2 linked regions of the Arabidopsis thaliana genome follow. The protein of the gene in region 1 interacts with the protein of each later gene in a pairwise test. Each region holds a gene or a part of one and is shown in the gene's direction. Other genes may lie near its edges.

What was found. Proteins that work in one complex are often made in the same cells at the same time.
Region 2: the proteins of PYL3 (region 1) and AT5G51910 interact in binary tests that used the Arabidopsis thaliana proteins (3 or more experiments, as listed by UniProt).

Annotation. Positions count from the first base shown.
Region 1 is NC_003070.9:27,461,120-27,464,481, forward strand, and holds PYL3 (PYR1-like 3), read left to right. Parts: upstream 1-1,863; 5' UTR 1,864-1,972; coding exon 1,973-2,602; 3' UTR 2,603-2,849; downstream 2,850-3,362. Other genes in the region: BGAL17 (beta-galactosidase 17), read right to left, coding at 136-224, 340-535, 672-776, 879-1,049. UniProt on the Arabidopsis thaliana protein: Receptor for abscisic acid (ABA) required for ABA-mediated responses such as stomatal closure and germination inhibition. Inhibits the activity of group-A protein phosphatases type 2C (PP2Cs) when activated by ABA. Can be activated by both (-)-ABA and (+)-ABA.
Region 2 is NC_003076.8:21,094,057-21,097,651, reverse strand, and holds AT5G51910 (TCP family transcription factor), read left to right. Parts: upstream 1-1,760; 5' UTR 1,761-1,843; intron 1,844-1,949; exon of another isoform or gene 1,950-2,044; 5' UTR 2,045-2,066; coding exon 2,067-2,948; 3' UTR 2,949-3,086; downstream 3,087-3,595. Other genes in the region: AT5G51920 (Pyridoxal phosphate (PLP)-dependent transferases superfamily protein), read left to right, coding at 1-450; AT5G51900 (Cytochrome P450 family protein), read left to right, coding at 3,198-3,595.

The DNA of each region.
Region 1 (3,362 bases):
TAAACGACAACTTAAAGAGGCAAACATGGAACTATGAATGTGTATATATCTTAGATTAATAATGCACACTGCAAGCTGATTAACTGCAACTCCAACTATCTATCTACTACTTACTTCATTTAACTGATAACTTACCAACTTAAGATATACAGGATCTGATGTCCTTAGTTGGAGACGTGGTTTCACAGCAAGTAACCAAGCAGGAAAGCCTCCCAAATCCCATTCTGTCATGGAGATGGGAACATGTATCAGAACTTTTTCCGTTGTATAAGCAAATCTTCCACATAATGTGGTAAAAAACATTGGTATCAACTCAATAAGAATCACAACAACACAGACCTCCACAGATATAAGGTCCAGCACGTAGCATAACCAGAAAATCTAGTTTCTCACACAGCTTGAGAAAGGAGACAAGATCACCAATACCCTCAAAAACCATCTTCCCAGGCTTTGGTTCATGCAGATTCCAAGGAACGTATACTTGAATAGTATTCAAGCCTAAAGCATTGGCTCTTAAAAGCCGATCCTCCCAGTACTGCATCCATAATCTGGCATTAATTCATCAAATCATATATATTATAAACATAACATAATGATGGTTAACAGCAGAAAATATTGAAGATTTCTTACTTAGCAATCATATGGATTACTTGTTATAAAGACACATGTACCTCTGGAAGAACACGAAAGTAATGCAAATCACCACCAATGATCTGAAAACGATTCCCATCTTTCCAGAAATTGTCATCCTTGATATAAAACTTGCGAGATATCATCTGCATCTCTTAAAACTGAAAGTTTAGAACGTTTACATTGATTTCGGTTCCAACTAAAACGAAGCAATTAGTAGAAAGCACTGAAGTATGAATCATGCTTACCTTCTCGTCCTGAGGTATAGCAGAAGGTAGAGACTGAGGAGTATATGACAGTGAAGGGAGAAGAGCGAAGACAGGAACATAGATTCCGACAACTACAAGAACCAGGAGCAACATGGAAGCCAATTGATGTCTTCTTTGTCTTCCCGTTGATGGCCAGCTTGTCATCGCCATCGTCCCTCTTCTGCAATAGTACGCTTGGCCAAATTGCGCACTTTTTAGCCGGTTTTAGCAAAATTCAACTCCTAAACCGGGAGACATCGGTTCCGGTGAACTAATGCCGGGTTTGCATACTGTATCATAGAAACCTGACGGATACAATCACCACATCAGAGACAGACTGCAACAAGAAGAAGTTGAAGTATACCAATCAATTTCCTAACTTGATGTTCCTTAACAAGCCCAGATTTGAAAAGGACAAGCTACCAAAAACTATCAAATTGGTTTAAGAAGCTATCGCTATCGTACCGGCAAATTCAAGCCCCCATGGCCGGAAAAGTAAACGGCTCGGATTTGACGACAACATCACTACTTCGTTATCACGTGCACATCACGTGTTGATTAGAGTATGGACTAAAGTCAACAAAATAAAATTTACATATTGTGTGTAGTGTATTGGACATGGGCTCAACTCAAAGTTACACTAATCTTGATTTGTTTTTTCTTTGTAATACACGCAACTTGCATACAAACCAATGCCCATACGAAAGTCTAAATCAGAAACAACTCTTCTTCCACCATATACACCCTTAATAGGGGCGTTGATCTTTCTTCTACGTCTTGCATATCATATTCAATTTAACAAATTTAGTTTAGATTCCATTTTGATGCTTCATTTTCGTATTGTTTATCCAAAAAGTTGATCTATAGGTAGCTTCTGAAGGATCCAATGAGTCATACAATAATGAGATTTGATGTCACGTTCACACTTGTACACCCAATTTTCTAAAAAGCCAAATGACAAAGGCATTTTCGTGCAGCCCAACTCCAAATATTAGTCATAACACATTATATATCTATATATATACGTATGTCAAGAGAATTAGTCCTAGTTTCGTACACAATTTTCTTCTCAAAATTAAAGTACACCCAAAACCATGAATCTTGCTCCAATCCATGATCCATCATCATCATCAACAACAACAACATCATCGTCAACACCATACGGATTAACAAAGGACGAGTTCTCAACACTAGACTCCATCATCCGAACACACCACACGTTCCCAAGATCGCCAAACACGTGCACATCACTCATAGCACACCGTGTAGACGCACCGGCACATGCCATATGGAGATTCGTCCGCGACTTCGCCAATCCAAACAAATACAAACACTTCATCAAGAGTTGCACCATCAGAGTTAACGGTAACGGCATCAAAGAGATTAAAGTTGGGACTATAAGGGAAGTTAGCGTGGTCTCTGGTCTTCCAGCGTCAACAAGCGTTGAGATACTCGAAGTTCTTGACGAAGAGAAACGAATCTTGAGTTTTCGTGTTCTTGGAGGAGAACACCGGTTAAATAATTACCGGTCGGTTACATCGGTCAACGAGTTCGTCGTCTTGGAAAAGGATAAGAAGAAGAGAGTGTATAGTGTGGTATTGGAGTCTTACATTGTTGATATACCACAAGGTAACACGGAAGAAGATACAAGGATGTTTGTGGATACGGTCGTTAAGTCGAATCTACAGAATCTCGCCGTCATTTCCACGGCTTCTCCGACCTGAAAGTGTTTGTGTTGAAAATGTCATGTGTGGTGTATATAATGGGCCATAAATGGGCCGATTATTTGTTCAACGGATGTGTTTGTGTGGAATGTGAGGTGTGTATATAAAACTATGGGCTATAATGGGCTTAGTAATTATTATATAAGGAAATCCCTGAAATGATCCGACCCAACTATATATATTTGTTTGCTTTCGGCAGCTATCCCAAATTTATATACTATCGGCACTGAAGTTAATTGATTATTACTCTTTTCTCTATACTTTCACGTTTCATGAAAAATTTCATGCTTGGATTTTTCTTAATTTTGAAAATTAGAAGTCACTTAAGTTAGATGGAAGTGTTATTGATATTTACAGTATGAGTTCAATTATATGTAAAGTAAAAGTAAACATTCGAATATAAAATAATCTATGTATATCTAGTTAAATTATATATAGATCAGTAGAAAAATGCTGGCTGTCAAAAATAAAAGTCAGTCCAATTTTTTTGATAGAAACTTGGTGCATCATCTTTCAGCATTTGTTACAAAATTTCTTGAAACCATGAAGAAAACGAATACACGTATCGTCATTGCAACACCATGAAGAATATTCGTGTCAGATGATTCGAAATACGAATCTGTCTGTATTTGGATATTTGGGACCGCATGGCTCACGTGGCTTCTATAAATTTGGATTTGGAACATCAAGAAAACCAATTGTTAATTGCGATTTATGAACTTATAAATTATGATAGATTTGTTAACTACTTTCTAGGGTG
Region 2 (3,595 bases), on another chromosome or scaffold:
AATTGGTTGGTAAGTGCTCTCTACAAACTCAAACATTCAACAACTAGTCGTCTAGTTAAAATCTACGGTCCGAAAGTTAATTTCAATCGAGGACCAGCGGTTGCGTTCAATCTATTCAACCATAAAGGCGAAAAAATCGAACCTTTTATCGTGCAGAAGTTAGCCGAATGCAGCAACATCTCACTCGGTAAAAGTTTCTTGAAGAACATCTTGTTCCAAGAAGACTACGAAGGCGTGAAAGATAGAGTTTTTGAGAAGAAAAGAAACAGAGACGTCGACGAACCAAGGATCTCTGTTCTCACTGCTGCGTTAGGGTTTCTTGCTAATTTCGAAGATGTTTATAAACTTTGGATATTCGTTGCTCGGTTTTTGGATTCAGAGTTTGTTGATAAAGAGAGTGTGAGATGTGGAGTTCATGTTTTTGAACATAAGAACCGTGAAGTAGTCTAGTTAACATATAGCCTAGTTTTGGCTCGGTTTGCTTTGGTTCACTTCTTACATCAGAACCGGTTCAAGTATCAATGAAAATTTTGATTTTTGTTCAGTACAAAGTCAGCGTCAACATTAGCGTCCAAGTAGCACCTCTATCTCCCACTAATTTTGATTTTGCTACTGATTCAAAAAAAAATAATTAACTTTCGAAAAAAGGTAGCTCATATATATTTATTTACAATTCGCTCATTCCTAGATGTCAAGTAGATATGAACGGGGCAAATGAATGCCCAATAACTAAAATAAACCCATATCAGCTATATATTTCTTCGGTTGTTAAAAATTTTGATTTTATAAAATTTATTGCACAAATGATTTTCTAGATGTTATTTTTATTTTTATTTTTAGTATGATAAATACTAAATTTCAAAATGCAATGATTGAAAATAATTAAACTTTTAATTTTATTAGCTCATAATTAAACTTAAAAATATTTAATATAAAAAATGTTAATGATTAGATAATGTTTTTTTTTTAATATGTGAAAAAATCCCAAACATCAATCTATTATAAAAATATGGAATAATACTTTTATTTAATCTATTTTTTTAGTAGTCAACATCAAAAGATTATTACAAATGACCAATGTTGATAATTTTAACTTATAAATATAGTATTAAATAATGAATAGTGAATTGTTTTCTTTTTGGCGGGTGAAACCTTATTTCCAAGCTTCATACTCTAGTCTTCGAGAGTCATGCTTAGTAATTGACATTTTTTGTTGCCATCATTTCTTATAAAGCTTACCCTAAGCTTGCAAGAATATTTACCGAGTAGTTTGGAATCTTGGTGTTGTAAATCATGCACTATTTGTTTTACTACGCAGTTCCAATCTTCTCGTGGGGACCAAAGTTTTTCAACCTTGTATACAACAAAATCAACAAGGGATTAGGTACACCAAATTGGTTTTTACGAAAACAGTAACATGCTATCAAAATAGAGACTAGTCGTTTTGGTGATAGAATTCAGACCAAGACAATAATGGTTTTACTTGTCAATAATACTCAGAAATGAACATAAGCTGCACTTGTCAATAGTACTCAGTTTTGAGATAGCTAAGTTTTGTATTGCCCTAGTTATGGCTCGGTTTTGTCCAATTCGGTTGGTTTGGTTCACTTCTTAAATGGAAACCGGTTCAACTGTACAACTATCAATAAAAAAAAAAAAATTAGCTCCACAACATGACTCTTGTGATGTGGTCGAGGCCAAGGCCCATTAGTTAGCTAAAACAGGCCCATATGAAGTATGTGATCTAGACCGTTGATTTGTAATGGGACTATATAAAAATAAAAACGATGATCTTGAGGGCCCCTTCTTCCATCTTTGTAGGGTTCTTCGTGCAGAGGATAAGGTTAGCTGTGGTTTTTTAATTTTATTTTTCTACCTTTGTAGGGTTTCCTCACTTTTTTTTATCCACTGTTCTTTAGTTTTCAATCTGTCAAATTCAAACAGATAACATTTTTCGTCAAAAGAATCAGTAAAAACTAAACATTTTGACTATATCCTACTTGAATCAATTCTTCGGCTGATTTTGAAGTTTTGTGACATTCAGATATTCTAGGGTTTTGTGGTAAATGGAATCGAATCACGAAGGCAACGCGATACAAGTGATTGACCAAGTAACAACCATGACCCATCTGTCTGACCCGAATCCGAAAACCAAACCGGGTATGATGCTCATGAAACAAGAAGACGGGTATTTGCAGCCGGTGAAGACTAAACCGGCTCCGAAGAGACCGACTTCTAAAGACCGTCACACGAAAGTAGAAGGACGAGGTCGGAGGATCCGAATGCCGGCGGGTTGCGCTGCTCGGGTCTTTCAATTGACCCGTGAACTTGGTCACAAATCCGACGGAGAAACGATACGGTGGTTATTGGAACGAGCTGAACCGGCGATAATTGAAGCAACCGGAACCGGAACTGTACCGGCTATTGCTGTATCGGTTAACGGAACTTTAAAAATCCCGACGAGCTCTCCAGTGTTGAATGACGGCGGCCGTGACGGTGACGGTGACCTAATAAAGAAACGGAGGAAGAGAAACTGTACGAGCGATTTCGTAGACGTTAATGACAGCTGTCATAGCTCCGTTACTTCTGGGTTAGCTCCGATAACGGCGTCAAACTACGGCGTTAATATCCTGAACGTTAATACACAGGGGTTTGTGCCGTTTTGGCCTATGGGTATGGGTACTGCGTTTGTTACTGGTGGGCCGGATCAAATGGGCCAAATGTGGGCTATTCCTACCGTTGCTACAGCTCCGTTTCTGAATGTTGGTGCTAGACCGGTGTCTAGTTATGTCTCAAACGCTTCAGACGCTGAGGCGGAGATGGAAACGAGCGGTGGCGGAACGACGCAACCGCTGAGGGATTTTTCGTTGGAGATTTATGATAAGAGAGAGCTTCAGTTTTTGGGTGGCTCAGGGAACTCATCTCCGTCTTCATGTCATGAGACTTAAGGAATTTTAACTCTTAGTTCTAGTTTCTTTTTAGTTTTTAGTAAGTTTGATTCCTGATTTAGGTTAAGTAAGATTTGTAAAAGAATTGGGAGCACAATTTCAATTTTATGTTTCTGTCAAACATTTTGGTAATTAATGGAACTATCCTATCATTTTTAAAAAATAAATCAAAATGAGATTAAAAATGAGTCTGCTAAAACGCCAGAGGTTGAGTCTGCTAAAGCTCTCGACACAATAGTAGAAGGAATAATGTATAGGCACGTTAAACCTAGATTCTCGTGGAAGCTACAAAGCTGGATCGGAGTTGGGATGGAGAAGAAGATGATAGAAGCTGGTGCCATTTTTGATCGAGTGTGTGGGAAATACATATCAGCCAGGAGAGAAGAGGTAAAAAGATCACAAGTGAATAATAATGATCATTTCATTAGAGATAGTCATGCAAATCTTTTGACATCTCACATAAAGCTTGATACAACCCAGTACCAGCTCTTGGATCCTATCAATGATAAATTCTTAAGAGACAATGTCTTTGCTTTACTTCTAGCTGGGAGAGATACCACTGCCTCTGCTCTCACTTGGTTCTTTTGGTTTTTGTCCGAAAACCCTCTAGTGGTGACCAAGATTCGCCAAGAGATTGACATGAATCT